4 linked regions of the Macaca mulatta genome follow. The main gene of each other region encodes a partner of the protein of the gene in region 3 in a complex. Links are inferred from orthologs where the notes say so. Each region holds a gene or a part of one and is shown on either strand. Other genes may lie near its edges. The genes, in order: NTMT1, HJURP, CENPA and CENPC.

Region 1 (7,905 bases), on a different chromosome or scaffold from region 3:
GCCTCGGCCTCCCAAGGTGTTGGGGTTACAGGCGGAAGTCACTGCACTCAGCCAAGATTTTTCATTGGTCAAATTTGTTATTGGCCCCCAGTACTATCTTCTGCACTACTATATTCTGAACCTGACCTGAAAGAGAAGGAACTTTCCAGAAGCAGCAGGCCCACCCCAGCCAGTCAGCTCAAGAATACTTCTAACGAGGCCGGGCGCCATGGCTCACGCCTGTAATCCCAGCACTTTGGGAGGCCGAGGCAGGCGGATCATGAGGTCAGGAGATCGAGATCATCCTGGCTAACACAGTGAAACTCTGTTTCTACTAAAAATACAAAAAAATTAGCCGGGCACGGTGGCGCGCACCTGTAGTCCCAGCTACTCGGGAGGCTGAGGCAGGAGAATGGCCTGAACACAGGAGGTGGAGCTTGCCATGAGCCAAGATCGCGCCACTGCATTCCAGCCTGGGCGACAGAGCAAGACTCCGTATCCAAAAAAAAAAAAAAAAAAAGACGACTTCTAACGGATGCAATTCTCCTTCTGTAACTGGTCAGCCTTTTCCGGAGACCCAGCCAGCCAGTGGGGGCAACAGGGAAAGGCCTGTTGTGGCTGCTGAGAACAGAGGGGACGGGGTCCCTCCTCTCCAACACCGTGCCTGACTCCTTCAGCAGATTTGAGCTTTCTTCACTGACAAAGTCACACGCCAGCTTTCTGAGGGTCCAGAGAGAGCTGACAAGACCCATGTGCTCTACCGGGGCCCGGTTCTTCTTAGATCCGTGATTGGGTCTTTTCACCCTCAGCAGAACCCTTTGGCTGTGCCTAGAGAAGTCTACTTAAACCTCTCTTCAGATTCTTGTTTTTTTGAGATGGGGTCTTGCTATGTGGCCCAGGCTGGCCTCAAACTCCCGGGCTCAGGCCATCCTCCCTATTCAGCCTCCCAAGTAGCTGAGATTACAGGCGTATGACACTGGGCCTGGCTTCCCTCTTCAGATTCTTGAATCCACTCGCAGACTGACCCCTCACTTTACCGTTCACACACAGGGTTTGGGCCACAATGAAGAAAGGCAGCCATCACTGCACCAATCAGGGAGCCCTTTGGGGTAACAGGCTGGGGAGGACCTTAGTTCTACTTATTGCACATAACACCTTCCCCGCAAGCTGACCACAGAGCTCCCACACTGGTCTCCCAGCACTGGGAACAACACTGCTGGAAGGAGAAAGCAGCCTATGGCTCAGAAACCCGTCTCTATCAAAAACACACACATTCTAGTACCTCCCAGCTACTAGGGAGGCTGAGGTGGGAGGATCACTTGAGCCTGGGAGGTCAAGGCTGCAGTGAGCCATGATCCTGCCTCTGCATTCCAGTCTGGGCAACAGAGTGAGACAGTGTGTCAAAAAAAGAAGAATTAATTCTTGTTCCCACCAGACCTGCCAATCCTCAAGACTGCTAGATCTGCCATGGTGGCTGACGGGGAAAAGGGCCACCAACCTGAATGTCACCATGTAGCCGGGTTTGGTGGCTGCTATGGTCTGACGGGGTAAGGACCAGGTCAGGTGGGCTGCCTGCCCCTCTGCCAGCAGGCACCAGAGCAACCATGTCACAGCCCTCCATCAGTCACTCAGAGAGGATGGCATTCAAAACTACAGCTGGGTGCAGTGGCTCATGCCTATAATCTGAGCACTTTGGGAGGCTGAGGTGGGAAGACTGCTTGAGCACAGGAGTTTGAGTCCAGCCTAGACAAGAGCGAGACCCTGTCTCAAAAAATAAAAAACACTTGGTGGCTGGGAAAATTAAAGACAAAGGTTAAAAAACGAAATACTACTCTTCCACACCATGCTAGCACAACTCCCATTCAGACTGGAGCACGGCGAGAGCAAGCCCGTCTCCCTCTCACCACCCACCAGTCTTGGTAAACTGAAGGTTTTGTATCCAGTTCTATCTCTCGCCTGGCCTGGGAGCTCCTAGAGAGCAATGGCAACATTTGAGATTTATCACTATGCTTCTCTTGCATCCCACGAAACACAGATATTCAACAGAAAGTTAATCTCTGATCAAATGAACAGAATAAATCTGAGGGCAAACGCGTATCGATTAGACCAGTGCCTGACACCAGGTGGGCACTGACTAATTGGTTGCCAAATAATACAATGGGCTTTGTGCAGCTATAGCCATTTTCCACTTCTAAGAAAATCCTACAGACAAAAGTCCAACCATTCAAAACTGGTAATACTGAAGGCTGTTACCGACAACATAATTTTGTGCTTTACCAAAAGCCTTGTAACATGATTCCTTTAAATGTCAGGGTCCCCCAAATAATCTAATTTACAAGAATTCCACCTACACGCAAATTCTAGGAAAAAGCCAGGGGAGGCACATATTGGCAGGGAAATAGCGAGCCTGACTTTGACATTTGTCCTAACAGCTGATTCATTAATAAATGGGATTCCTAGGGTCCTGGCTACATTCTGTCCAGATTGCAGTGGGGCAGGAGGAGGTCCCTAAGAGTCCGAGGGAACAGCAAGGTCGGTCGGCCAACAGCAGGAGGTCCTGCTACACTCTGCTCCAGAGGACAGATGCCATGTGGCTGCAGGGCCTGGGAGGAGGCCAGGAGCACCCTGGCTTTGTGTGAACTCTAGGCTAGCTCAGAGAGGAAGAGAAACCCCTCACGCCTGGTAAATGCCTGCTCAGCCAGTAAATGTGATCCTACATCCTTCACGGTCACCTAGCTGCTGCCTCCTCCTCCCCGCCAAGGTGTTCAGACCCACGCAGCTGCCCCAGTTACTGCGTCTCTTCTCCCACGACCCATGGAAGAAAACGGTGCTGAAACTGTCACCGGCAGACTTTTGCAGTCATCTCATCCTACTCATGTTAAGTCTCTACGGAAAAGCCTGCCTAAAAGTGACCTCCACCCTCTAGCAGCCTACAGGACAGAACCCATCCTCCCTGGATCTTTGTGGACAGCAGCAGGCCACATGCAAATGGCAGAGTGCTCTAAGAAAAGGAAAGAAGGGAAAAAGGGAGGGAAGAAGACAAAACAGGGGATACATTTAAAAACTAACAAAGACTCTGATGGAGTCGGATGAACCAGATCTGAATCTTGGCTCTGCTCACCAGCTGTGTTAAGCTCAGATAAGACATCAAACCTCACCATTCCTCAGTTCATCTATAAAATGGAGCAGTAATACCGACTTTACAGAAAGCCTGTGATTAAAAGTGCACACGAAAAGCTTAAAGTGCTTTGCACAGTGCCAGGCACATATTCTCTCTTGAGCTTAGAAATTCTCCGTCAAACGAGATTCTTGTCAACTCTGCGCACTATGAGGATCAAATGGGAAAAGTGCCTTAGAATGCCATAGAAGCTGTACTGTTGGACACACCTAGGGGACTGTTACTGGTATGCTGGGCGGCCAATCCAGCAGACTCAAACAGCTCTGCAAATCAGCCAGAGTGAGGAGTGAGCTTCCTCTGTCTGTAAGCACAGAACCCCCACCGAGATTTTTTAGATGCTATCTTTGTGATCCCAGGGCTTCCGGCCTCCACCAAAACACTCCATGCGTTACTTCCAACCCCCACGCAGTCCTCAGTTTACAGAGAGAAAAACCAGCACACTAAAGGAAACGATGTGTCTTTAAACATACGAACAGGAAGCCGAGAACAGAATTAAGGAGGGATTCCAGGCTCCTTATCCCAGCCCTGGTTCCTCCCAGAGGCTCATCCCATCTCACTGGGCAATCATTCTACACACCACAACCACCGGTTACACTGTCCCTCCCCGCTGTCAGGGCCTCTGACACCAGCTGTGGCAATCACTTAACAATAGAGAGGAGAAACCGAAGTCCAGAGAGAGAGATCACACAGTTGGTGGGCAGCAAAGCCTGGGCTTTTCGATATGGCAGCCTCCCTGCAGACAGGCTGACCTTGGCCGCAAGGGTTCTGGGGGTGTCTTTTTTGAGCTGCACCTGTGTCGGGCTGGCGCTGGGGCGGGACCCAAGGTTAAATACGACGGCAACTTCTGTGCAACGGGCACTTCACTGTGCCAGGCTCTGAACTGGGCATTTTACCGATTCCTCCCATCCATCCTCCGAGTGGGCGCTCTCCATATCCCTGTTTCTCGGAGGGGAAACAGGCTCAGAGAAAGGGATTTGCTGCGGTCTGGGGACCCGGGTGGGGGAGTGCCCTGCCTGGGCTTTGAGTGCCTTGACTTTCCTCCTGTACCCCAACCCATGGACTGACTGCTCCGTAGTCCCTGCCCAGGTCCGGCCCGTGGACCGCTTGGGAACGCGCACGTGGGGCCCGTGCCGGCCCTCGCGCACGCGCCGGGTCACGTGACGAGCCGGGGCCCACAGGGCGCCGAAGCAGTTAGGGGTCGCGGCCTCCCCTCTCCCGGCGGCTGCCTACCCTTCGCACCGCCTCGCGCTACTCACTCCGCGCGGGGGCTCCCGGGACCGAGAGAAGAAGATGGGGAAGAGGAAGGGAGGGCGGCAGCGGCGGAGACCCCACAAGGTAACCGCAGCTCCGCCACACCACGACCAGACGCGACAGCTCGCGGCGCGCGCTGCCTTTGTCCGCTAACGTCACTTCCGGGCGTTTAGGGGCGGGGCCACGGCTGGCCCCACCTCCTCGTTCAGCTCGCCCCCCTCCCGCGGGCTCCGGATTTAGCCTGACTTCTTTTGAAAAATAATTTAACTTAATTTTTTTTTTTTTTTAAATTGAGACAGAATCTTGCTCTGTCAACCAGGCTGGAGTGCAGTGGCGCGATCTTGGCTCACTGCAACCTCCGCCTCCCAGGTTCCAGCGATTCTCCTGCCTCTGCCTCCAGAGTAGCTGGGACTACAGGTGTGAGCTACCACACCCAGCTAATTTTTGTATTTTTAGTAGAGACGGGTTTTCACCATGTTGGCCAGGCTGGTTGCGAACTCCTGACTTCAAGTCATCCTCCCGCCTCTGCCTTCCGAAGTATTGGGATTATAGGCGTAAGCCACTGCGCCCAGCCTAATTTGACTGACTGCCTTCCTTCCTTCCTTCTTTCCTCCCTTCCTCCCTCCCTCCCTCCCTCCTTTCCTTCCTTCCTTTCCTTCCTTCCCTTCCCTTCCTTCCTTCCTTCCCTCCCTCCCTCCCTCCTTCCTTCCTTCCCTCCCTCCCTCCTTCCTTCCTTCCTTCCTTCCCTCCCTCCCTCCCTCCTTCCTTCCTTCCTTCCTTCCTTCCTTCCGAGACGGAGGCTCGCTCTGTTGCCCAGGCTGGAGTGCAGTGGCCTATCTCAGCTCACTGCAAGCTCAGTCTCCCGGGTTCCCACCATTCTCCTCCCTCAGCCTCCCAAGTAGCTGGGACTACAGGCGCCCGCCACCACGCCCAGCTAATTTTTTTTGTATTTTTAAAGTAGAGATGGGGTTTCACCGTGTTAGTCAGGATGGTCTCGATCTTCTGACCTCGTCATCCGCCCGCCCCGGCCTCCCAGAATGCTAGGATTACAGGCGTGAGCCACCGCGCCCGGCCTAATTTGACTTCTTTAAAAAAAAAATTAGAGACGGGGTCTCACCCTGTTGCCCAGGCTGATCTTGAATCCTGGCCTCAAGCAAGGCTTCCACTTTGGCCTCCCAGACTGCTGGGATTACAAGCGTGAGCCACCGCGCCCAACACAGGTTACAGCTCAAAACTTGACTAAATTGACTTTTGGGAATCTGGAAGGACCTCCCGAACTGAAAAGAGCCGCGGCGTTGCCCTCTCTTCATCCCCATCACGAACAACAGTTCGTTTGGAGGCTGCAGGCTGGGCTTTGAGTAAGAAGGGGAAAAAAGCCATTGGTCCTCAAATCCACCCATCTCCATTAGCATCTTAAAATAATACCGACCCCCCAAAAATAAATAAAATAAAAAATACTCTTGGCAGTGCCATGGGATTCCCACCCAAATAAGCAGAACAAGCCCATGAAATTTCCATTCCAAAAGCATGGCCCTTCCCTCGGCTCCTCCCATGCAAAGAAATTCTGGAGCTATCTCCGAGGCAGCAGTGATGGAAACACGAGCTTGCAGGTGGGTAGAGCCTGTTAACATCTCCGAGCTTCAGTCTCCTGCCAGAAGAAGTGGAGCAATGTAATCATTACTCAACTTCTGATGCTCTGAGAGGATTAAACTTGTGGGACACTGCACACCAGACCTTCAGCTCAGCACCTGCAGTGGGTTCTCAGGAAATGGAAGCTATTATAATGACAATATTCACCCTAAGGTCATTTTTCCTAAACTATTAATAACATCCTGGTTTTGGCAGGGTGCAGTGGTGCACAACTGTAACCCCAGCATTCTGGGATGCCAAGGCGGGCAGATCACCTGAGGTCAGGAGTTTGAAACCAGCCTGGCCAACATGGCAAAACCCCGTCTCTACTAAAAATACAAAATTAGCCAGACGTGGTGGTGCATGCCTGCAGTCCCAGCTACTCGGGAGGCTGAAGCAGGAGAATCGCCTGAACCTGGGAGGTGGAGGTTGCAATGAGCCTAGATCACACCATTGCTTTCCAGCCTGGGTGACAAGAGCAAAACTCCATCTCAAAAATAAATAAAATAATAATATTCTGGTGTTAGGTTTCCAATGCCTTCCTCTGAGCAGTGCACACAGAAGGTGCTTAAAGTGTGTTTGCTCTAAATGTACTGAAAGCTACGGGAGAAAGGGGATGCCAAAAAGCCACATCTGCATTGAGTCCGCAGAACGTGTGTATGTGCATATTATTTGGCATCCCTTCTAGACTATTCTAGGTCCTAACTGCTACCCCTGGTCTGAGCAAGCTTCATTTTCTGTGTCTCTACGCAAAGGAATTGATCCTGGGCAATTTCAATTGCTGGGGGTGTCTGGAATCCTCCACCAGGGGGCAGCTCTGGTCCAAACTCTGCATGCCTAAAAATCCAGCCCTATCTTATTTCCTGTCAACAGAAGAGCAAGCCCCTTCCCCACACCCAGACTCCAAGGCCTTCCCAGGGCTGGCCAGCTCCCTGACCTCAAAGCCTCTGGCATCTCTGAATTCCCAAGCCTAGCACATAGTAGTTGCTTGATAAATGATTGCAGAGTGCAAGGTCTGGAGGGCTCTTTAGAAACATCTAGTTAGGCCGGGTGTGGTGGCTCATGCCTGTAATCCCAGCACTTTGGGAGACCGAGGCGGGTGGATCACGAGGTCAGGAGATTGAGACAGGAGATTGAGACCATCCTGACTAACACGGTGAAACCCCATCTCTACTAAAAATACAAAAAAATTAGCTGGGTGTGGTGGCGGGCACCTGTAATCCCAGCTACTCGGGAGGCTGAGGCAGGAGAATGGCGTGAACCTGGGAGGCAGAGCTTGCAGTGAGCCAAGATCACGCCACTGCACTCCAGCCTGGCTGACGGAGCGAGACTCCGTCTCAAAAAAAAACAAAAACAAAAAACCATCTAGTTAATCTGGTGTTTCTCAGCCATTAAAAAAAGTCACATACCCTTTAAATAAATACAAAAATATCTCCCTCCCCCACTCAATATTGTAGCTCTCCAAGAAAGTATGTCCCTCCATCCCTGGTGAGAAGCATTGACAGAAAATAGAATACATCTTTGGCGATGTGTCCTCTAGTGAGTCACTCTGTTATTTGAATTACAAAGTCGTTTCTTCATTTTCAAATTATGAAACTATGCCATGCCAGTGAAATACTCATGTAAATGACCTTTGTCTCCCACCCCAGCTTCACAATACTCTATGAGCTTCCTCTCGGCCCTCTCCCAGCCAAGACTCAGAGATAAGGCCCAGGGAGTCCTGAGAAAAAAGACACTTCTCCAGTATCACACAGCAAAACAGCAGACCATGGACTTGAAAGTGGGTATGTTAATTTCTTTCTTCTCTTCTCTTCTCTTCTCTTCTCTTCTCTTCTCTTCTCTTCTCTTTTCCTTTCTGGAGATGGAGT
Region 2 (7,359 bases), on a different chromosome or scaffold from region 3:
AACCTGCCACTAGGGCCCACCCCCAACAGTTCCATCTGCAATTACATTTCAAGACAAATGGCATCCAAACCATAGCACTGTGTTAAAATGTAACTTCCATACAATAAAATACCACAAAGTTAAATGACAAATCATAGATAGAAATTACTTGCAACTTATATAAAACTGGATTGTTTCATATCACTGGATTTCGAATACATCCAAATCAGGAAAACAGAGGCAAATATAAAACCAGTGTCCTGAGGACATTTAAAAAACCAGGACTCACAGGAAGACATGTTCAACAAGTCATCAAGAGAAAGCAAACTGTGAAGCAACACATTTTACACCTGCCGGAGCTCAGACTGGCAGCAACTGGAAGCGATAATGTGGGGAAAAGGTACCTCTTATATTGCCGGATATTGGGCAAACTGGAGCAGCCCTTTGGGAAAGCAATTTGGCAATAACTAGTGAAGTTCAAGGCACACCCATCTGTGACCCGTAATTTGCCTCTAGGTGTGTGTGCGCCACAGATAGTTGACACTTATGCATAAGGATCACGGGTGGGTTTTGCTCCCATCTGCAGACATCCAGGACAATAAACCACCTACAGAACTCAAAATGAGATGCCCACATCTATTAGCTCCTGTCACATTCAGTCTCTTGATGAAACAAAACTGTAGCATATGTACAGTATTAATTTACTCATCTAGTTTGAAACAGGGTGACTATACCATATATAGTCTATGGGTCCCTTATTGGCAGATCCTGTAAGTTGGCCAAGAGCCATGCCCAGGTCCTTCTACCTCGCCTTCCTCCACTGGATGACAGAACACCAGCCTCTCTGGCAGCCAGGCCTGGCCCTGCCAGCAAGGTGTCAGCAGTCTGCTGGGTGTTGGGGGAGGAGAGGCACAAGCACTGCTGGGTTGCAGTGATGGTTTTCCTGAAGAGGAAAGGATGGGTCATGTTGTCCTTAGGAAGCAGCAGGCCTGAGGGAAGGCTCTAGATCTGTAGGGGCCATTCTGGCCCTGGCCCAGCCTGAGCCAGCATTACACTGCCGGCCTGTTCTTTGAGGAAATGAGCCGTCTGTGAGGTCTGCAGCACCTGGCCCGGTACTCAGCTCTCAACAGCGTGCACCCTCCTTACTGACTCACAGCCTGTGGACTGAACTGGGTCCCTCAGGTTCATATGATTAAGCCCTAGCCCCTGGCATGATGGTAGTATTGGAGATGGCGCTTTCTGGAGGTGATTAGGTTTAGATGAGGTCCTGAGTGAGGGGCCCTTATGATGGGATTAGTGCCCTCCTAAGACACCAGAGACCTTGCTCTCTCCAGCACGTGGGGACACAGCAGGAAGACAGCTTTCTGCAAGCCACGAAGAGTCCTCACCGGAGCCCAACTATCCTGGCTCCCTTGTCTTAAACTTCTAGTCTCCAAAAACTGTGAGAAAATAAATTTCTACTGTTGAAGCCACCTGGTCTCCAGCATTTTGTTATAGCAGCCTGAGGACGCAGGCGTGCGCGCGTGCACACGCGCATATTCACGCACACAACGTGGTCCCAGTGTAAGACATGGGGGGAAGGGATATGGGGTGGGGTAGGGAGGTGATATCGGACATCAGGAGAGTAATCGCCTGGGGAGGCAGGCAGGAATGAAAAATGTGTACCTCAATCTCATTTTTAATCTTTCATAAAAAAGCAACCCCAAACTCATATGGCAATATATTAACTACGCCAGCATGAGTTTCACCAGTGTATTCTGAATATGTGAACTATTTCACTACAAAAACGTCACCATGATATCCTGTCATCAACAGCTTCAATAAGAATCGTGAGGAGTCACAGGCGCTGTGGCTGCAGGAGTGTCTGGGACCACCAGGACTATTAATTTTCCCTCAAGGGTCATTGCATGCAGGGCTCAAACTTACGTCTCACAAGCAAACAATACTCTCAAATGACATGGGAAACAGGAAATTCTCTGGACATATCTAAATTTAAAAAAGAACACATGGCTGGGCGCAGTGGCTCACACCTATTATCCCAGCACTTTGGGAGGCTGAGGCGGGTGGATCACGAGGCCAGGAGTTCAAGACCAGCCTGGCCAATATGGTGAAACTATGTCTCTACTGAAACTACAAAAATTAGCCAGGCGTGGTAGTGTGCGCCTGTATTCCAGCTACTTGGGAGGCTGACACAGAAGAATCGCTTGAACCGAGGCGGCGGAGGTTGCAGTGAGCTGAGATTGCGCCACTGCACTGCAGCCTGGGCGACAGAGAGACTGTCTCAAAAACAAGCAAGCAAACAAAACCCCCCAAAAACGCACACATTAGAAAAACAGGCCTATCAAAGAGAACCCTAAGAATTCTAACTGAGCAACTTTATTCACATAATTTCTACACCAAGAACTCGAGGGCCATCTCTGATGGAGCCAATTTCACTAATATTTGCTTTAAGGGCAGAGAAGTCAACCAAGTCCTCAGTCTCAAGAATTAAAAACAAAAATACAAACAGAGAGCAAGTGGGAAGAGAAATAACACTCAAAATTACCTAGCTGCACACTTTTAGTTTTGATTTTTCTAGCACAAAATCACTTCTCTTCCATCCTGTAAGACGTGTTCTTTCCTCTAGGGAAAAAAAAGACAAAGAAAATGATGTTAGCAAAATTCTAGTAGAATTCCCAACGCCAGCCACTAAAAGGTTAACTGTTTTCCACTTACTCCATTGCATGTATAAAAATACTTACAGAAAATTACGTTAAGTAAGTTATGTTAAAGAAACAACAAAAATATAATGGCGACCCCCCCACGCCGCCCCCCACACTCCCCCAGGGAGCACAAGCTGGTGGGAAAGTCCACATCCCACACCCTGGCCCAGCTAGCGCCGCTGCGCGAGTGAATTTAGGAGTTCTAGGATTTAAGCTACTTTTCTGTATCTATTAAAAGGAGAGACAGCCTGCCTATTGGACAGAATCGATCTAATCAAGGGGTTCTGGTGGGGATTAAAGATAAGGCGTAAAAATGGTTCAGCATGACCTGGCACACAGAGAGCACTGAGATGTTAGGCATGAAAACTCCATATGTAGTTGTAGCTCATGAAGATTTGGTCTCTTTCCTCAAGAAATTTATCATTTAAGCAGAAAAGCAGAAAAACATAGGAAACCAGTTACACGTTTATACTGTGGTTTAAAAAAAAACCTGGGGTGCTCATGATTTGACTTGCTGTCAAATTCCAGGGCAGCTGGGAGCGCCCTCAGGATGGTCTACTCCCCAGCCCCACAATAATGCAGCCTCACACCATTCCCCGCAAGGCCGAGGTCCCTCCTGTGTGGCTGGGCCAGAAGAAAGCCCTTTAAGGCTGAGCAGGTGAAAAAACAAGACAGGAGCCTCTGCACGGAGCACTGGGGCAGGACGTCACACATGGAAAGGGGTCTGCAGGCGACTGGCACGGTGCCAGCAGATCACAGAACAAGGTGGGAAAAGGCACGAGACAGAATCCCAGGGCAGGATGATGGTAAATGGAAGAGCTGGGGCACTACCTGAGAAAAAAGTTAGGTTTAGACAGGCAGGGCGAGCAGAGCAGAGGAGCTCTGATGTGCGGGAGGCAGGAGAAACCTCGGATCACTCTCTGGGCCGGAGAGTTGTTTTTGGTGAAATGCTCCCCTTTCAACTGAGAAAGAGACTCTTGAGAGGTCATCTGTTAAACAGAACGCATAGGCTTCGCTCTCAAAGCAGCCTCCACGAAGTGTCTGCCATGAAGATGCGGCTGAGATTCTCGAAGGCTTCACTAACTGGGGCTCAAAGCCACCCAGCCAGTGGTTTGTTCTGAAAAAGCCATGTGGGCACAGGAATGGGGCATCAGGCACACAGTTGGAGACCAAGACCCGAGGGAAAGACTCTGCTGTTAGCCAGGCCCTGCCCACACAGTGCCTGACCCTAGCCAGGCCCTGCAGAGAAAAACCCTTCCCATCACCTGAACACATATGTATGTCCATCCTCAACTGGGAAGACAGATGACAACAGAGGGCTTGTTTCATCTGCTCCTGGTTAGTTCACACAGTATGACTTTATACATGAAAATAACTTTGAAAACCAAGACACCCAACAAAACCTGGGAGCTTCTAGAACTGAGCCAAGGAGCCTGAGCTGCTAACCTACGAGACTGGCCCGTGTCCAGACAGCTCCTCACTGCAGCACCCACCATGTGGTGGGAGGGTGGGGGTCACCTGCACAGAGCAGGCAGCTGAGCGGTGGGTGGAGTCTGGGGAGGACGTCTGGGGATGCAATAGCAAAGAACCAGGTAGTAGCGGGAGAATGCCAGTGAAAGTTCCCTGGAAGGGAAGGGCTGTCCCACGGCAGACCCTGGAGCGGGTGGCCCTGCAGCAGTCCAAGGGCATTGGGAAGACAGAGTCACAGTGAGAAAGGCGTCAGGCGGCTCAAGTCACAGGAGGCCGCTGGTGGTCTGAGAGTGTGGTCTCTGCCATGCACAGGCCGGACTGCAGGCTGTGAAGGCAGGCGCCACAGAAGGAACAAGGCATGCCAGACCTTGGTTCTGAGCTGGACGGATGGCAGGAGCCAGCAGCTGAGAAGGGCTCACAGGCCAGGCGGGCCCAGGTGGGAGAAACAGAAAATGGGACATTTATGACAGGCAGCGTCCACGCAAATGACCTCAAAGAGGCACATCGCCAGGGTAGGGCACAAGGGAAGAAGATACTGGAGACACAGCCTCACCTGCTGGAACCACAAACACACAAAACCCAAAGGAACTGGCCAAATCAAACCCACAGTCAAGTCCTGTCCACCTGTGGGTGAGCTGTGGCACTGAGCTTAAAAAGTCGCATCCTCTAGATCCTGGCTGTGGACACACAGACAAGCTGTGCTGGGGAATCCAGGCCTTAATGCCAACAAAGGTACCCACTCACACTGACCTACCCCACCGCACTGTCGCTCGAGAAAAGGGCACACGCAGACTCAAACTCTAGCTGGCGTGATTCGCACAAATGAAGCTGCAGAGCGAGGTGCAGAAGTTTTCACGCCGAGCACTGAGGCGACCTGCAGGGCACCGCTCACGCCTGTGGGAATGCCATGCTCATGGCTCTCCCGGGCCACTCGTGCTCTGTCCCCACCAGGAGTCCCGAAATAGACAGGAAGTCATTTGCTTTAGAACACTTCTGCCTTCCAACGCTATTTTCTGAGTGTCAGATGAAGAGGTTAGAAATCAACGTTCGACAAAGACGAACAAAGTGTAGTAAGTGAGGATTTGTAGAAAACCACCTGTGAGTGCATTCTAGTGGAAAGCATGCGATGCAAGAGCGTCTTCTGCTCAACCTCGATGCATCTTGCACAGGAACATGTTCTCGATATAGACGATTTTACAGGAAGGAAAAGCATTTGGGAGAATGCTCGGAAAATGATCACGAATGTAAGAATTCGGTTGAGATTCACTAAAAGGGGCACAAAGGTTCCCACCATAAAAACCCTCTGTCCAAAGAGGAGTCACTCACATAAAACACCCACGTTCAACCAACAGAAACGCACCTTCCTCTCTTCTGAGTTGGGCTGTGAAGAGCTGCCCTGGTCTCCCGGTCTTACGATGTTGACTACCCCATCTGAGGCACCCTGGGAACTGGCCTGGCATCCAGAGCCCTGGGGGTCTGACAGCCTGGGTCTTTTTGCAGGGAAATGATGGTCCCTCTTGGTGGCACGAGCAACACATGTAGATGAATGAGCCTCAATTGCAGTTGAGCCCAGTAGACTTTTTCTGCACCCCAGGGGTGATGATGGCAACTTCTGGAAACCCTGGAAGTGAGGGTCTGGATTTAATTTTCCTAAGAAGCCTTCTGTTTGATACCGAACTTCCATACTTGCTTTACCTGTAGACACTCCAATACATGAAGGCGCCTTCATCTGCTCAGGAGATCTGAGGCAGTACTTTTGATGAAGCTTGTCAAATTCTTCTTTAATTTCATCATAACGATTCCTTCTGTGGCCTAGCACTTCTTTGTCTGGGCCTGAAAGAGTTTTGATGGGTGACACTGACTTTCTAAATATTCCAGAACTGTTCCCTTGAACGTGAAGATCAGAGGTCTGTTGCGGGCGAGCTGGGCTGTGTGTGGGGTTGGCCTTTGGAAGTGAAGAAGAATTGCTCTTGGGCAGGCACCTACCTGATTTCAGAGATCCTTTGGCCAGGTTTTCAAAAGCCTCGCTTAAACTTCTTGCTTTTGCTTTGCTGGAAGGTAAACTCAGCTTGCAGGTTTCTAAGCCCTGAAGGCCACCAGGACTCGCAGGACCCCCTTTGTACACGTTCATGGCCCAGGAGTCTGGGAGGCCCATCTGGGGAGGCTGGTTCCTGGGACTCAAGCAATATTCCCGATGAAGCTGATCAAATCGCGTTTCAATCTCCCTCTGACGGTTCTCTCTATGGCCCTGTTGTATTCTTGGTCTGGAAACTATTTTTACAGGAGAAATTAACCATTTTAATGTCCTAAATCTATCTTCCTGATCAAGATTATACGTTGCACTGGAGTTGAAATAAATCAAGGAAGAATACTTCGAGGGTGTCACTTTCAGCTCCTTCCAACTTGGATCTAACTTATGGATTTGGGGTTTGTTGACTTCAAGAAAAGCTTTTTCCAATTTTAAACCTGTCGTATGGCAAGGAACATCTAATACGTTCTTGCAATCTCTGATTGCTCCTGTGTCTTTCACAGGCTCACAGCAGGGTACAAAGTTCTCCTTGGAGCTCCTCTGAGAACGTCTGGCTCCTTTGCAATACGTTTTGTTCATCCTGCTCTTACCTCTGTGCCTGCTCCTGGAGTTCCAGTTTTGCATGATGAACGTTTTGGTGGAGATGATGCTTGATGGCTTTGTGCTCAACAGGCGGCTCATGGAGTGCAGCATCCCTGCGTACAGGTCACTGATGGTCACGTTGCAAATGTCATCGTCTTCAAAGTGCTGGCTGCTTAAGAAGCTGCTGCTACTGGTCTCTTGCAGGGAAAGGCTGTCATTTCTAGGTACTAAGGCCATGTCTGTGGAGGAAGGATGTGAAGGATCCCATTCTCTGGGAGATGAAGCTGGTTTTGCTGGGTCACCAGGACTCTTTCCAGAGACACGACTGTAGTATCCTGGGAGAAAAGATACACATAAAGTAAAGGTGTGTTACCATTCTAAACCATCCATGTGCACAGATGACAGAACTTAAGATTGGATCAGGACTATGTTTTTTTAAGCAATAGCAAAAACAAAAACACCACAAATGTGTAGGAGTAGACTCTTCTCAGAGATATTTTTTGCTATCAAAATTTGATTTCTACTCTCCATCGTACATTTCCCAAAGGTGTCTTCCTTTGCTTCTAGGCTGTTTAGAAGATGGATGCCTTTGCAGAA
Region 3 (8,098 bases):
GTGTAAAGATATAAAGAAAAAATGTTTTTGTATACTTGCACAGTGTGTGTTTTAAGCTAAATGTTATTACAAAAGAGTCAAATTTTAAAGTTAAAAAGCTTATAAAGTTAAAATGTTACATTAAGCTAAGGGTAATTTATTATTGAAGAAGGAAAATTTTTCTTTTTAGAGACAGAGTCTTGCTCTGTTGCTCTCACTGGAGTGCAGTGGTATGATCCTATCTCACTGTAGCCTTAAACTCCTGGGCTCAAGCAATCCTCCTGCCTCAGCCTCCCAAGTAGCTGGCACTACAGGCATGCACCACCATGCCCAGCTAATTTTTTTTTTTTCCTGTGGAGATGGGGTCTCACCACGTTGCCCACACTGATCTCTAACTACCAGGCTCAAACAATGCTCCTGCCTTGGCCTTCCAAAGTGTTAGGATTACAGGGGTGAGCCAGTGCACCCAGCCCATTTTTTATACTGTTTTTTACTGTACCTTTTCTAGGTTAGATATGTTTAGATACACAAATACCATTGCATTACAGTTGCCTACAGTATTCAGTACAGGAACATGCTGCACAGGTTTGTAGCCTAGGAGCAGTAGGCTATACCATATAGCCAAGGTGTGAGTACACTATACCATCTAGGTTTATGTAAGTATACTTTATGACTGCACAATGACAAAGTCGTCTAACAACACATTTCTCAGAGCATATCCCCATTGTTAAGCATGGGAACTATATAATGCCTTTATTATAGATACATGACTGTATAATAAGGGCTATATGATAAGCCAGAGTTACCAGGGCACTTGGGAAACTTATTTTTTTTATTTTTTAGAGACAGAGTCTCTCTCTGTTGCCCAGGCTGGGATGCAATGACATGATCTTGGCTCCCTGCAACCTCTTCCTCCTGGGGTCAAGCGATTCTCCTGCTACAGCCTCCTGAGTAGCTGGGTCTACAGGCACACACCACCACGCCTGGCTAATTTTTGTATTTTTAGTAGAGATAGGATCTCACCATGTTGGCCAGACTGGTCTCTGACCTCAACTCCTGACCACAAGTGATCTACCTACCTCAGCCTTCCAAAGTGCTGGGATAACAGACCTGAGCCACTGCACCCAGCCTACAAAATGTTTTTTAAAAAATTAGCCAAGCGTGATGGTGCATTCCTATTAGTCCCAGCTACTCAGGAGGCTGAAGTGGGAGGACTGCATGAGTCCAGCAGTTCAAGGCTGCAGTTAGCTCTGACTGCACCACTATACTCCAGCCTAGGCAATGATGCAAGATCCTGTTGGGGGGGTGGGGGGAAACGCGTGTGTGTGTGTGTGTGTGTGTGTGTGTGTATGTATATACACACATGCACAAAACATAGAATTTACCATTTTAACCAGTTTTAAGTGTACAGTTAATGGCATTAAGCACATTCATAGTGTTGTGCAACCATCACCACCATCCATATCCAGAATTTTTCATCTTCTCAAACTAAAACTCTCCACCTATTAAATACTAACTCCCCATTCCTCCCCCACTCACTGGCAACCACCATTTTACTTTCTGTCTCTGAGTTCAATTATTGCAGGTACCTCATACAGTATTTGTCCTTTTTTTTTTTTTTTTTTTTTTTTTTTTTTTTTTTTTTTTGAGACAGTCTTGCTCTGTTGCCCAGGCTGGAGTGCAGTGGCACAATCTCAGCTCACTGCAACCTCCTGCTCCCAGGTTCAAGCAATTCTGCCTCAGCCTCCCGAGCAGCTGGGACTACAGATGCGTGCCACCACCCCCTGCTAATTTTTTGTATTTTTAGTAGAGGTGGGTTTTCACCATGTTAGCCAGGATGGTCTCAATCTCCTGATCTCATGATCCACTGGCCTCAGCCTCCCAAAGTGCTGGGATTATACAGGCATGAGCCACCACTCCCAGCCTTGTCCTTTTTTTTTTTTTTTGAGACAGGTCTCACTCTGTGGCCCAGGCTGGAGTGCAGTGGCACAATCATGGCTCAGTTCAGCCTCAACTTCCTGGACTTGAGTGATCCTCCCACCTCAGCCTCCTGAATAGCTGGGGCAACAGGTGTGCACCTCTATGCCCAGGCTAATTTTTTTTTTTTTTTTTTTTGTATCTTTGTTAGAGGTGGGGTTTCTTTCTTCTTTTTCTCTTTTGTGTTTTTTTTTTTTTTTTTTTTTTTTTTTGGAGACAGAGTCTCGCTCTTGTCACCTAGGCTGGAGTGCAGTAGCACAATCTCAGCTCGTTGCAACCTCCGCCTTTCGGGTTCAAGCAGTTCTGCCTCAGCCTCCCAAGTAGCTGGGATTACAGGTGTGCGCCACAACACCTGGCTAGTTTTTGTATTTTTAATAGAGACGGGGTATCGCCATGTTGGCCAGGCTGGTCTTGAACTCCTGACCTCGGGTGATCCGCCGGCCTCGGCCTCCCAAAGTGCTGGGATTACAGGCGTGAGCCACCACACTCGGCAAGATGGGGTTTCGCCATGTTGGCCAGGTTGGATTCAAACTCAAGGGATCTGAACAGCTCGGCCTCCCAAAGTGCTGGGATTACAGGTGTGAACCACCGCACCCCGGCCCAGCATTTGTCCCTTGGTGGACTGCCTTATTTCACTTAGCATAACGTCCTCAAGGTTCATCTATGTTGCAGCAGGTGTCAGAATTCCCATTGTGGTATACGCCCCATTTTGTTTATCCATACATCTGTTGATGGGCATTCAGGCTGTTTCTGCCTTCGGGCTGTTGTGAAGAATGCCGCTATCAACACGGGTGTGAGAATATCTGTTCAAGTCCCTGGCTATATTTAAATTCTTTTGGATATTTAGCCAGAAGTGGAATTACTGGATCATCTGGTAATTCTATTTTTGATTTTTTGAGGAACCACCAATACTATTTTTCACAGCAGCCGCAGCATTTTACACTCCCACCAGCAATGCACAAGGGTTCCATGAAATCACTAATTTTATAACTAACTTTTTTCCTGATTACATGTTCACTGTACTACATTTAGAAAATGCAAGAAATAAAATTTAGAAAATTAAAATTCTCCTTACTCTACATACTGGGACAGGACTTGAATTTTTATTATCCCCAACAAAGGGAAGTGAGCGTTTTTCTGGGACGATTGCGTTGCTATAGTGCCGAGGCCTGCCCTGCCGGAACCCAAGCTCCGCTGATCCCGCCGTCCCCGCGACCCCAAGGATCAGCAGTTGAAGTTCACGCAGTTGAACTGGCTTCTGAGTGTATTTGTGGATAATTCCTGGAAGGGTCGCAGACACGACATGGGGTTGTCACATTCTCTGTGGGTCTGTTTCCTCGTCTTTAAAAGTCGTCTCTGCGTTGCTAGGGCAAAGCATAAAATGTTTAAGGAAAGTGACTTGTCTAGAAAAGCACGTGCTACAAACACACCATCTACGTTCCGAACTGAGCTTCGGTGTTTTGACTGGAGGGCACCTGAGGACGTCAGTACGGTCCCGCAAACACCAGCACCCAGATTGGCAAGCAGGGGCAGGAGAATTTCCCGCCCCCTCTTACTTCTTTAGGTGTCTATTGGTTGATTTTACCATCAGTCGCCCCTATCCTCCTACCATCGCCGCTATTTGTTCATACTCTCATTGGTCCTACCTGCAGTCGCTCTACGTAAGGGGCGTTCCAGAGTCAGCCACTGGAAGTCGCTGGATTCGGGTTTTAAAAAACGCCGGCGGTGAAGTGGGCGGAGCGAGCGATTTGAACGCGAGCGGCGCGGACTGCGGCCAAGCACCGGCTCCTGTGAGGCTCGCGGCCCAGCGTTCTCTGGGCTCCCCAGAAGCCAGCCTTTCGCCCCCGGACCCGGCCGCCCGAGCAGGAGCCGTGGGGCCGGGCGCCGGCACCCTCCGCGGCGTGACATGGGCCCGCGCCGCCGGAGCCGCAAGCCCGAGGCCCCGAGAAGGCGCAGCCCGAGCCCGACCCCCGGCCCCTCCCGGCGGGGCCCCTCCTTAGGTAACTGGCCGCGGCCCATCTCGTAGAGGAGAAAACCGAGGCTCGCAGGCGGAGCCCGGATCTCCCGAATCCCGATCCCGTGGCCTTCCCTGCTGGGGGACAACGCGGTTCCGCCGTCTGGCATCCGCTCCGGGCACGGGCGGTGGCAGCCCTGCGAGGGACTGGAGCAAGCGGTTCCGAAAGCGTGAAGGGACCGGCGCAGCCACTTGGCCCCTAACGCCGTCTTCTTGTTAGGACTAGCGGTTACCCAGCGCCCACCGCCAACCAGGCATTGCGTCCCACTGTTCGTGCGTTATCTCAGCTTCATATCGTGCCCATTTTACAGCTAATGAGAAAGCCAAGGCACAAGCCAGGGAGCTTGAGCAGAGTCACACAACTTGTTCTGGCGGACACGGGATTTCCAATCCTCTGTGTTTGTGCATTTTTAGATTGCACAAGTATTGACTGCTTTCGGTGACGATTTCAAACAGGAGTCCTCTTAGGAGGTGTCTTTCAGGTTTTTTTTCCCCTTCCGGGACAGGCTCTTAGGCCTCGAACCGAGGCCTTCTGCGCTGCTCACGCTGTTGCGTTCCAGAGCTTGTGTCCGGGGAAAGAGGGGCCAAAGTCTGTGTCTTCATTGTCTGTGTGGTAGGCTGGTGGATGGGAGACCCAAGGGCAGGAGGAGGCAGATGCCTGTGTGGTACACGGTGGCAACAGCTGCTTTACTTATCTCTTAACTCTTGCTGCATAGCTAGGAAGAAGATGGGAAGTGTATTGTAGAGTTTGTCTGTTTCATTGTTTTTTATAGAGACTCGGTCTCCCTATGTTACCCAGGCTCGTCTCAAACTCCTGGTGATCCTCAAGTGATCCTCCTGCCTGGGCCTCCCAAAGTGCTGGGATTACAGGCATGAGCCACTGTGCCTATAGGCTTTTTGTTTTTTTGTGTTTTTTTGAGACCTATCGCCCAGGCTGGAGTGCAGTGATGCCATCAGGGCTCACTGCAGCCTCAACTTCCCAGGCTCAGGTGATTCTCCCACCTCAGCCTCCCGAGTAGCTGAAACTACAGGCATATGCCACCATGCCGGCTAATTTTTTGTATTTTTAGTAGAGATGGGGTTTTGCCATGTTGCCTAGGCTGGAGTAGGTTGTTTCTAGATGTTGCTGTTGCGGATGGGATTTTTTTTCTTTCCCAAAACACAAGCATTTAACCTTTGCATCCAGCCAACTTGCTGACTTCTCGTTCATCCTAGTCTCTTTTAGTTGCTTCAATTGAAATTTTTAAGTAGACTATTATGTCATCTGCACATAACTTTAGAATCTTTCATTTTCGTCTCTAAACATTTTATTTCTTATTGTATGGTATTAGTAAGGCCCTGAGACTCACTAAGAGTGGTGTTTTGGCCATCTTTGTCTTATTTGTAATTTTAACGGGAATATGAAGTATGATGTTTGCTGTTGCTTTCCAAGGTAGAAGCATCCTTCTACTCCTGATCAAATGGAAGGTTTATCTCAAATGGGCAGTCAACACTTCTTGGCAGTCCTACCACCTTTGTCTGGTATTCTTTCTTCAGTTTTAGAGACGGAGTCTCACTCTGTCGTCCAGGCTGTAGTGCAGTGGTGCTATCTTGGCTCATTGCGGCCTTGACCTCCTGGGCTCATGCAATCCTCTTGCTTCAGCCTCCCGAATAGCTAGGATGACATGTGCACCACCATGCTTGACTATTTTTAAAGCTTTTTTGTAGAGACAAATTGTTTTGTCTCTACAAAGAAAAGCCATCGTGCCTGCCCTTTGTCTGGAATTCTTGCTTTTCCATTCTCCCCATGACTATTTCATACCTTTTTCTCCTTCCTCGACTTCCTACAGCTCCATTCCCCCTACTCTTAGCCAATGATGGCCTTGACTAGGTGTCCCCCTTCCTATCAAAGCTCTTCCTCCTTCTACATGGGGTCTTGGTCATATCCTTCTTTCACCTACAAAGGAGCTTTCTACCTGTGCTTAGATAAATCCAGACACTTAACACTGGCATTGGCACATGTGCTCTAGTATTTATGATCTTTTTTTTTTTTTTTTTTTTTGAGGCAGAGTTTCCCTCTTGTTGCCCAGTCTAGAGAGCAACGGTGATCTCGGCTTACCGCAACCTCCACATCTTGGGTTCAAGTGATTCTCCTGCCTCAGCCTTCCGAGTAGCTGGAATTACAGGCATGCGCCACCACATCTGGCTAATTTTGTATTTTTAGTAGAGATGGGGTTTCACCATGTTGGTCAGGCTGGTCTCCAACTGCCAACCTCAAGTGATCCGCCTGCCTTGGCCTCCCAGAGTGCTGGGATTACAGGTGTGAGCCACCGCTCCCAACCATATTTATGATCTTAAGAGAAAGGGCAGGGGTGTTTCCTTGACCCCACATTCTCACTTCCCTATACCTCCCATTTCTCTCTATTTCCCTTCATAGCTCTCCTTTTAAAACAGCCAGACTTGTTAGGTCCACATACATTGCGTCTGATTCCTCACTTCCTAGTGACCCTACAACCCACTCCAATCTGACTCCCCACAACCAGTATCCCACTTCTAATTTGCTTGAACTACTCCTGTCAGGGTCACCAGCACCTTTTGTAGTGCCAAATCCAGTAGGCGGGTCTGTGTTCTTACTGTGTCTCAGAAGCATTTGATGCAGTGGGCCTCTTTCTCCTTGAAGCATTCTGTTCCCTTGGCTTCCATGCCACTGTGCACTCTGGCAGTTCTGCTTAGTGTTCTTTACTGCTTGTGCTGCCTCCCTCCACTCCTTGATGTTGGACTTCCTTGACATTCTTTTCCTTTCTACCCCCTCCCTAGATGGTCTCATCTCCTCAGTGGCTCTAAATCCCACCGAGATTTACATTGACAGCTCTCAAATTTATGTATACCTGGATCTCTCCTCTAACCCCAGATACCTATATCTAACTGCCTTTCTATCTGAAGGCTCGTGGTTATGTTAAACTTAACACACCCAGAACTGAACTTCTGGTTACTCCCCTCCAGCCCCTTCATCCTCAGTTTGCCCATTTCAGTAAATGGCACAACTACCCACCCAGTTGTTCAAACCACAAGCCTGGGAGACCACCATCTCCAATACAAATGCAAGTCCAGATAATTCTACTTCCAAACTGCTCCTTAATCACTCCATTTTCACCATCTCTGCTCCCACTACCCTAGTCCAAGCCACCAGCGTCTCTCAAGAGCAACTGTGAGAGCCCCCTAATCAGCTGCTAATCCACTTCCACTCTGTCCCTTTCCACTTCTTTCCTTACACAGCAGCTGGAGTGACCTTCAACATCTCTATTCTGCTTAAAACTCTTCCCTGGCTTCTTCTTACATTAGGATTAAATTCCATCTCTTCATGTTGGCATTTCAAGACCCAACTACTAAATTTTTGATCCCAGTTCTTTTCCATGATCTCTCTAATTGGTTACTTTTCAGAACCACTTGTCCTTGGTTCATGGATTTCATATCTCTGTTACCTCTCTGAGATTGTTATCCATTTTTCTCTCGAGGTTTCTATCTCTTTTCTCTATTAACTCAATTTCGTCTGGTATTGGTTATTTTGTTTGTTGAGTTTGGTTCCTTTCTTTCATGGTATTGGCCTTCTTAAATTGTTGGGTGATCTTTAGTTGTGTTCATCTTCACATTTTCTGTGAATGCTATGTCTTGTTTATTTTTTTATTTTATTTATTTATTTTTGTTTGTGACGGAGTCTTGCTCTTGTTGCCCAGGCTGGAGTACAACGATGCAAGCTCAGCCCACTGCAGCCTCCACCTCCTGGGTTCAAGCGATTCTCCTGCCTCAGCCTTCCAAGTAGCTGGGATTACAGGTGCCCGCCACCCCGCACAGCTAATTTTTGTATTTTTAGTAGAGATGGGTTTCTCCATGTTAGTCAGGCTGGTCTCGAACTCCTGACCTCAGGTGATTCACCCACCTTGGCCTTCCAAAGTGCTGGATTACAGGCATGAGCCACCGCACCCAGCCCTATGTCTGTTTATTAAAGACTGCCTCCAGTGACTGGATTGCCAACTGGTGGTGGGGAGGGAGGGAGGTGTCAGTAGCTCGTCTCCTGGGTATGGGTCCTCCCTCTTTTAAATGTCACCAGTCTCCTGGACACTGCCCTGTTTCATTGGCTTATGTTCCCTA
Region 4 (7,810 bases), on a different chromosome or scaffold from region 3:
TTTCACTTATTGCTTAATGCTCTTTACAGTTACTTTGTTTTGAACTAGACTCTAATCAAAGTTTACACATTGCATTTGGTTTTCATACAGTGCCTTTGAGTCTCTCTCATTTTCTCTTTCTCTCTTGCGTTATCTCTCTCACAGATTTACTGAGGTATAATTTATTGCAAAAGTCACTATTTTGGCCAGGTGTGGTGGCTCATTCCTGTAATCCCAGCAATTGGGAGGCAGAAGCCAGAGGATCACTTGAGCCCAAGAGTTCAAGACCAGCTTGAGCAACATAGGAAGATCCCATCTCTACAAAAAATTAAAAAAAAAAAAATTAGCAGGGTGTGGTGGTGCATGCCTGTGGTCCCAGGTATTCAGGAGGCTGAGGCAGGAGAATCATTTTAGCCCAGGAGGTCGAGGCTGCAGTGGGCCTTGATTGTGCCACTGTACTCCAGCCTGGGCGACTGAGCAAGATCTTTCTTGTTAAAAAAAAAAAAAGTCACCTTTTTTCAGGGGCACAGTTCTAACTAGGAATTTTGACAAATAGATATAGCCATGTAACTACCATCATAATCAAGACATAGAATATTTTCAGCACTACAAAAAGTTCCCTCGTATTCCTTTATAGCCTTTTTCCCCCACCCTCCTCAACCCCTGGTAACCATTGATTTGACTTCTTTTCATACAGTCATTGATATCCAGCTTCTTTCACTTAGTACAATGCTTTCAAGATTCATCCATATTGTACATCAGTAGTTTGCTTTTATTGCTGAAGAGTATTGCACTTCATTGAGGTACATTTGTGGGATGGGAATGAATACAGACTAATTTTTAAGTGGTTAGTTCAGTTGTGAATATTTTTGTGCTAACACTTAACGGAAGACACGTTGATAGTAAATACTCATACCATAATTGTTTGATGGAAATCAAAGATCTAAAACAAAATATTCTTTGAAATAATTTTAATATTTACAAATTTTAAATTATCTACCTAAAACCATAAATAATGAAAAGTTTTTTTGCTTCTCTTTCAAGACAAATTTCTGGATACTTTATGTTCCCATATACACATCTAATTATGTATATGTTAATACTTCCATATACTGATATGTAAGTACACACACACACACACACCCCCTTAACTAGGTAAGTAGTTGTGAAAGAAACTTCAAGATTGCATTAGCAGCTCATAAGAAGTAATCTTGATGTATTTTGGGGGGAGATTTATAAAGACAAACCTGGGTTTTTAAATAAATATTACTCCCCCCATTAATTAGCAATCCTATTTTAGGATACTAAAACCATGGTGGGGCTACTAAGCACTACAACAATATGGAAGTAAAACGTTTGTCTGGAAACTGTGGCGTCTCCATAACTGTTTTTATAGGAGTGCTGCTCCATTTTCTTTAGAACAGTTCATCCTCAGCACCCTGTGTGGCCTGCATTCTACAGCAGCACAAGCCATTGCATTTCAAATTTCTCAAAACCCTCTGTGGGACTTAGTTTCCAGTGGAAGCAGGAGGATATAATTTTACATATGGGACTTTACATCTATAAGTGTGCTTGCTAAAATTTCTTACCCAGAGGCAAAGAGTGTAGTGATTAAGAGCTCAGTTGTGGAGTCAGAATTCTTGGGATAATATCCCATCCTACCATTTAGTGGTGATGTGATCTTGGGCAAGACACTTACCTCTCTGTGTTTCAGTGCCCTTGTTTATAAAACAGGAATATTAATTGTTCTCTTCAATGCATGCGAAGCATTTACAGAACTGGGCATAGAGTATGCACTCAATAAATGTTAGTGTTTATTACTATCTATTCCAAATGTGATAGTACCAAATTATATATCATGTGGACTGATTGGCAAAACTGCCAAACATAGTAAAAGTGTCTCCATAATGATTCCAATAGCTTTATTATTGAATTCTTACTCTGTTCCAAACATTGTGTGTAGATCTTAACAGGAATTATTCAATTACAACATCTCAACCACTTAATATTATTCTCATTTTGCAGACAAGAGAATTAAGGAACAGATAACTTAGTTGCCCATAATGGCAGAATTAATGGAATGGAGTGCAATCTAGGCCTAATTTCTGTCAGAGTTCATAGTTCCTCTTTCTTTCCTATCAAAAAAAATAAATAAAATAAAAAATTGGCTTTCATAGGTGACAGCATTTATTAAAGCACTACATGTTTTAAAAATCTATTAGCTCAACTCCTGATTAATGTATTTATTCAATGAGTAAACTACTTTCTGATTAGAATTTTCTTGTAATTTTAAATTAAATAATAAAATAAGACACAGCTTCATAGAATCATACACTGGTCAGGTGAGAAGTCTTCAGAGCGTCTAAGTTAGACTTCCATTCTATCACTATGGAAACACCCAGAATGGTGCCGAAATTTTTCTCCCCATAACACAGCTAGTCATTGGCTGGCAGGTTTCAGGATTCTGTATAGAATTCTTTTCAGTGCATCATACTTAAATGATAGCTATTTACGTGGGTCATTTGTTGGCAATGCATCATAAAAACATCACCCACATACTTGAAAAAGAATACAAGCCATCATCACCATTATTACACATAATTATTCAATTATTTTCAGAGATGATGGTTAGATGGGTTGGGCGTGGCTGACGAATTTGCATTAGAAAAATCTCTTCAAAAAGATTCTGTTAAAAAAAAAGTCTTCAATTTCTACCTCTCATCCTTCCAAGTATTACTTATTATTCTTTAATAGAACTGTTGAGAAGTTTTACATTGGGCACAAGGAGCGGTTCCCAGGACCGCGCCTTCCAAATAAAGGCCCACTCTCGCGCCTGTCCCCGACGCGGCGCTGTGGAAGGGAGGTGGGAAGAGCAGAGCAGCTAGAGATAGGGCGGGCGGAGCTGCGGGCGGGAGGGCCATTGGCTTAGAGCAAGAAGGGGCGAGCTCACTAACCGCTTGCTTCCTATTGGACGGCGCAGCCCGTTTTGCGCATGTGCGGCTGGGTTCAAACCCATGCAGGCGCCGAGCGTTCTTGTTTTTTGAGGGCGGAGCTGATGGCGGGGAAGTGTTGTTAGCGCGCGCCTTCCGGATCCCAGCGCTCCCGGCCGTCCTCTTCGACTTAGGGGTGTTGCTTGGCCGCCGCCTGGTAGTCTGGCGGTTCATTTCTTGCTCGGCCTCCTGGAGTTGTGCTCCGTGTGGGCTTCCACCTCAGACCCCTGCGCTGGCTCAGCGGGGCCGGAACATGGCTGCGTCGGGTCTGGTAAGTGCGGGCCCTCGCGCTCCAGGCAAGCGGTTGAGCGGCTGGCTGGGGACACGGGCGCCCGAGGAGGGGGAGAAGGAAAGGCTAGGCTGGGGCTGTGGTCCATGAGGGATTTCAGTGGGAAAGCCGGAGGAATTTTTGAAATCAAGTGTGATCGTGTATCGATAATCGGAGTTAATTTACTGTACTTTTATTATTTCTTAAGTTTTCGTGTCTTCGTCTGTGCCTGCGTCTTACTCTTGAGAGGTGCTTGTGATTTCTGTTGGGGTGTTTTTTCGAGACGGAGTCTTGCTCTATCCCCCAGGCTGGAGTGCAGTGGCGCGATCTTGGCGTCTGCTTTTTAGTCTAGCTCCAGTTCCTAGTCCTCCAAATACTTTTCTCCCCATGGTAGAAGTATTGAAACGCCTTAAAAATGTGCCTTTGCGTCACACTTGCTAGTTGGGAGAAACAGATTATGTAACAAGTATGTCCCGAAATAGTTTGACGTTTTCAGTTCTTCTGTCAAAATGGTGGCCTTATATGCAGTTCTTGAGGCTGATTTATGGAGCATCAGTTATCGACAGTGTTCTTAAAGACAGCTATTAGTTAAAAGGTACAAGCTGTAAATGACTAATGGGGGCGGCAACTCATATTTTGTTTACATATTTCTGGACTTCTTTGGTGTTCACTATTCTATATTTCATACTTTGGTTATGGTTGCTATATCAAACCCGTATCATTTCTTTTCTAATTTATCTCCTCTTCTTCAGCTTCGATGATCTCCCATTGTGTGACGTTATACATATAAACATAAAGAGTTGTATGAAAGAATAATATAATCTAGACTTTTTACTATGAGCACATATATTGTTTACATTATATATAATCAGAAAAAAGCAATAAAGCCATTCTCACTGTGGGGAGAGAAGCGGAATAAAGCTTACCAGATGCCGGCCGTTCAATTTTTAAATGCCTATCATAACCTTAGAATTGTTTTGAGCCCTTAGGAGATATTTGGTGTATAGCATGCCCATGCTGGATGAAGTTACTTTGAAAATAAATTTTATTCTGCTATATCTTAAACCAAATGGATGATTTACTTTTCTTTCAGGATCATCTCAAAAATGGCTACAGAAGAAGATTTTGTCGACCTTCCAGGTGATTTATATACTTAAGCTTTTAAGATTATTTTTATTCTCATCGTTAATAGATTTTTAAATGAAGAAAGGAAAAACTATCACCTGTGACTAAAATAATGATTTCTATGCCCACTGATTAAGGGTAGTCATCTTATACTAACGGAATGTTAATGCAAGCAGTGCAATGACTTTGTGGCTGTGAAAAAAGAAATTCACCTGATAAAATAGTGGAAACAGGAAGAGGGAATCTCAGTTCTGACTAAGTGACTGCCATGGGAAAAGCATTTTGTAGAATGAATCAAATGGTAAAATTAGAAGGATGTAGCTTATTCAGTGGGGCAAAAACAAAAATAATACATGCTATCATGCATTTATTTGTTGGATGCTTATTTGGGTTGTTTTGGTCCTTCTTTTAGTTGTAAAACCTGTAAAAAGTAAATTTTCTAGTTAAATATTTACTAGTAATAGGATGAAAAGCATGTTCTTAAAAGTGAAGATGTTATTTGAATAACATCTTGTTTATTGAGCTGTGATTTTAGTAGGTCCGATAGGGCACAGAAGTATGTTATTTTGCTTCCAAGAAGCTTTCATTTCTATTGGGAAGATGTATATGTACATTTGTGAAATACTTTAATGGACAAAAATTAGTACTTATAATACTGAAGTAATGACTTGTGTGTCAGAGAGAGTACGCCTATATATAATTAGGCATTAACTTGCAGTATAGACAGCCATGTGAGAAATTAGGGAATTCTGTGTTGTTGATATTAAGAAAAGCTTTAAAGTTGTAGTGTAACTTTGGTGGACCTTGAATAGGTTAGGTATTTAAAGACTAAGATAAAGTTCATTCCAGACATAGAAAGTAACTTAGCAAAGGAACCAAAGTAGGAACACATACATTTGTCGGTAGCAGAAACCTGATTTAAGAAGGTTGAATATGTTGGGTAGAAGTGGAAAACAAGACCATATGAGTTGGATTGAGCCATAAAATGGATATGTTAGGCTTAGGTATCTATTATAGGTTTGAATAAGCTGTCCTAAATCTTCTGTGGAATAAGGGCTATCTGATGTAAACACACACACACATTTAAAAAAGCAAAGATGTTTGATGTTTACAGAGTAGCTTAAGGAAGGGGTTATAGTAATCTAGACTTGATGGAGGTGCTTTTATGCTAAGGTAATAATGACAAGGGGGAAGAAAAGATGAATTTGATAAATTTTGAAAAAGCTGTTGCCTAGACTAATGTGACCTGTGTTCTAATAGTGACTCTGCATTATCACCTTGGAAAATCTGATGTTTCTGGATCTCCTCCTTGAAATAGGTAATAGTAGGAGTGTATTTATAGCTGTAGGTGGTATTTTGGGGTGGTGTCAAGGCCAGAATTTGTAACAGTCAGCTATATATATATTCTGGTAGAAAACCGGCCACTAATACTAATTAGGTTTACAAACTGAGGTAGGCCATTTGACCATTTTGGATTGCAGTTAGCCTGTCTGCAAAATGAGGGCATAGGATTCAGCCTAGTGGTTTTTAACTAGATTTGCACCTCAGAATTATCTCCGTCACCCTAGGAAATCTGATTAAATTGGTCTCTAGGAAGTGACCAATTATGTGTATTTCTGCAAAGTTCCAAAAGTAACTTATGCATCTATTTGGATAATTATTGGACTGGATGATATCTGAGATCTTTCAGTTATGAAACTTTATGACGGATGACCTGATAATGCACTGTGGCTCACAATCTTTACTGCATATATAGTACTTTTCGAGCTCTCAAGAATAATAGGAATGTTGTAGATCAGGGATCAGTAAATTCTGGCTGATAGGCCAGCCAAATGTTTTGTCACAGGTTTTGTTTCAATTTTTTTATTGGAACACAGCCATGCCTCTTTACATACTGTCTGTGATTGCTTTCGGGCTAGAATGGGAGAGTCGACTGGTTGTGACAGAAACTATTGTTTACAAGCCTAAAATATTTACCATCTGGCCCTTTAAGCAAAAGTTTGCCCACCCTGTTAGAGATGCATGTCAGTTTTTTACTGATTGAAATCCAGATGTTCTTCAACAGGTAAATGGTTAAACACTGTGGTACACATATAGCATGGAACACTACTTGACTCTAAATAGCAATGAAATATTGATACATTCAACTTGGATTGATTTCCATAGAATTGTGTTGAGTGAAAAAAGCCAAGGCCAAAGGATACGTACTGTATGATTCTAGTTACATATAATTTTTTCCAAATGACAGAATTTTAGAAATGGAGGACAGATTAGTAGTTGCCAGAGGTGGGAATGAGAGGAGGCAGGAAGGAGATGAGAGGAAGGTGGTTATGGTTACAAAAGGACAATAGAGGATCTTTGTGATGATGGAACTATTCAGTATCTTGACTCTGGTTGTTTTATCTGAACTTACAGATGTGATACATTGTGTAGAAATAAATACAAACATGAGTATATTCAGAAATGAGTACATGTAGAACTGAAGAAATCAGAATAGCATTGGTAGATTTTATCAGTATCAGTATCCTGATTGTGATGATATGCTATAGTTTTGCAAAATATTAGCACTGAGGAGAACTAGGTAAAGTGAACAAGGGATCTCTATTATGTTGTATAGCTGTGTGTGAATCTACAAGCTCAATATAATTTTTAATTAAAATTTATACTGATTCATAAACTTAAGATTAATCAATGATACTGAATCAAAAATGCATTTGAGAATTTATAGGGAGGAATCTGTTATTTGGAGATGTGACTGTAAAGTCTGTTAAAGAAGCATTTCAGTACTGATTGGATTCATTCAAAAAAATTTGTGTTTTTGAGATACAGCAGTAATCTAAAACAGCTTTAGACATGGCTGTTCAACTAAGAAATATTAATTATTAATGTAGATTATGATATACTAATTCTTATTAGGACGGAAAGAGTTCAGTTCAGGGAATGTATAGACCCTCAAGTACTTGTTTTGTCTTCAGATAGTAAAGATATTTTACATATTAAGTAAATTAATATTTTACAATGAGATGTGGAATTTTCAAATAGATGGTAATATAAAGAAATATCTTCTGAAAATGATAGGCTGTATTTTTCCTTTCTTTATTAGGGCACGTGACATTAACACACAGCAAGGCCAGAATGTTCTGGAAATCTTACAAGACTGTTTTGAAGAACAAAGTAAGTCTTCATTTCAAGATGGAGTTTGAGGGTTAGATGGATGAAAATATGAATTTGTCATGGTAATTAATGCCAAATGCAGCAAATAAAAAATAAAAAATTTAAACCCTATAGGGTTTAAGTATATGTAAAATGTTTTCCCTGGTATTTTGAGTTCATATGCAATCCTTTGTGTACCTTCTGGTATACTTAGGATAATACTGACAAAAATAATAATTTGACAATAATTTGTCATCCCCTTTAGTTCACATTAGATTACTGTAATCTAGAAGTC

What was found.
Region 1: the proteins of CENPA (region 3) and NTMT1 are in contact, whole or in part, in a crystal structure (PDB 5CVD), measured with the Homo sapiens proteins. The link is inferred for Macaca mulatta from reciprocal best matches to the Homo sapiens genes CENPA and NTMT1. Residues at the interface, in NP_001800.1 of Homo sapiens: Gly2, Pro3, Arg4, Arg5, Arg6, Ser7; in NP_001273725.1 of Homo sapiens: Tyr19, Trp20, Met30, Leu31, Gly32, Tyr34, Ile37, Trp136, Asn168, Ile175, Asp177, Asp180, Asp212, Glu213, Ile214, Tyr215.
Region 2: the proteins of CENPA (region 3) and HJURP are in contact, whole or in part, in a crystal structure (PDB 3R45), measured with the Homo sapiens proteins. The link is inferred for Macaca mulatta from reciprocal best matches to the Homo sapiens genes CENPA and HJURP. Residues at the interface, in NP_001800.1 of Homo sapiens: Lys64, Leu65, Ser68, Arg69, Arg72, Asp83, Phe84, Asn85, Trp86, Gln87, Ala88, Gln89, Leu91, Leu92, Ala93, Glu96, Ala97, Ala100, Phe101, His104, Glu107, Asp108, Leu111, Leu112, Leu114, His115, Ile132, Glu136; in NP_060880.3 of Homo sapiens: Glu14, Asp15, Leu18, Lys21, Leu22, Ser25, Arg26, Arg28, Phe29, Arg32, Met33, Leu36, Lys39, Tyr40, Pro43, Phe44, Thr47, Pro48, Val49, Val50, Gln51, Met52, Ala53, Thr54, Leu55, Ile65, Trp66, Gly67.
Region 4: CENPA (region 3) and CENPC share a complex: the UniProt entries of both Homo sapiens proteins name them as parts of the CENPA-NAC complex. The link is inferred for Macaca mulatta from reciprocal best matches to the Homo sapiens genes CENPA and CENPC.

What each region holds. Positions count from the first base shown.
Region 1 is NC_133420.1:17,993,625-18,001,529, forward strand, and holds the start of NTMT1 (N-terminal Xaa-Pro-Lys N-methyltransferase 1), read right to left. Parts: upstream 4,554-7,905; 5' UTR 4,414-4,553; exon of another isoform or gene 4,304-4,413; intron 4,273-4,303; exon of another isoform or gene 4,171-4,272; intron 1,861-4,170; exon of another isoform or gene 371-1,860; intron 1-370. UniProt on the Homo sapiens protein: Distributive alpha-N-methyltransferase that methylates the N-terminus of target proteins containing the N-terminal motif [Ala/Gly/Pro/Ser]-Pro-Lys when the initiator Met is cleaved.
Region 2 is NC_133417.1:139,110,875-139,118,233, forward strand, and holds part of HJURP (Holliday junction recognition protein), read right to left. Parts: intron 7,098-7,359; coding exon 5,512-7,097; intron 2,602-5,511; coding exon 2,554-2,601; 3' UTR 2,525-2,553; intron 1-2,524. UniProt on the Homo sapiens protein: Centromeric protein that plays a central role in the incorporation and maintenance of histone H3-like variant CENPA at centromeres.
Region 3 is NC_133418.1:98,213,245-98,221,342, reverse strand, and holds the start of CENPA (histone H3-like centromeric protein A), read left to right. Parts: upstream 1-3,604; 5' UTR 3,605-3,862; coding exon 3,863-3,956; intron 3,957-8,098. UniProt on the Homo sapiens protein: Histone H3-like nucleosomal protein that is specifically found in centromeric nucleosomes. Replaces conventional H3 in the nucleosome core of centromeric chromatin that serves as an assembly site for the inner kinetochore.
Region 4 is NC_133410.1:65,936,468-65,944,277, forward strand, and holds the start of CENPC (centromere protein C), read left to right. Parts: upstream 1-3,014; 5' UTR 3,015-3,222; coding exon 3,223-3,240; intron 3,241-3,722; exon of another isoform or gene 3,723-3,832; intron 3,833-4,330; coding exon 4,331-4,377; intron 4,378-7,465; coding exon 7,466-7,536; intron 7,537-7,810. UniProt on the Homo sapiens protein: Component of the CENPA-NAC (nucleosome-associated) complex, a complex that plays a central role in assembly of kinetochore proteins, mitotic progression and chromosome segregation.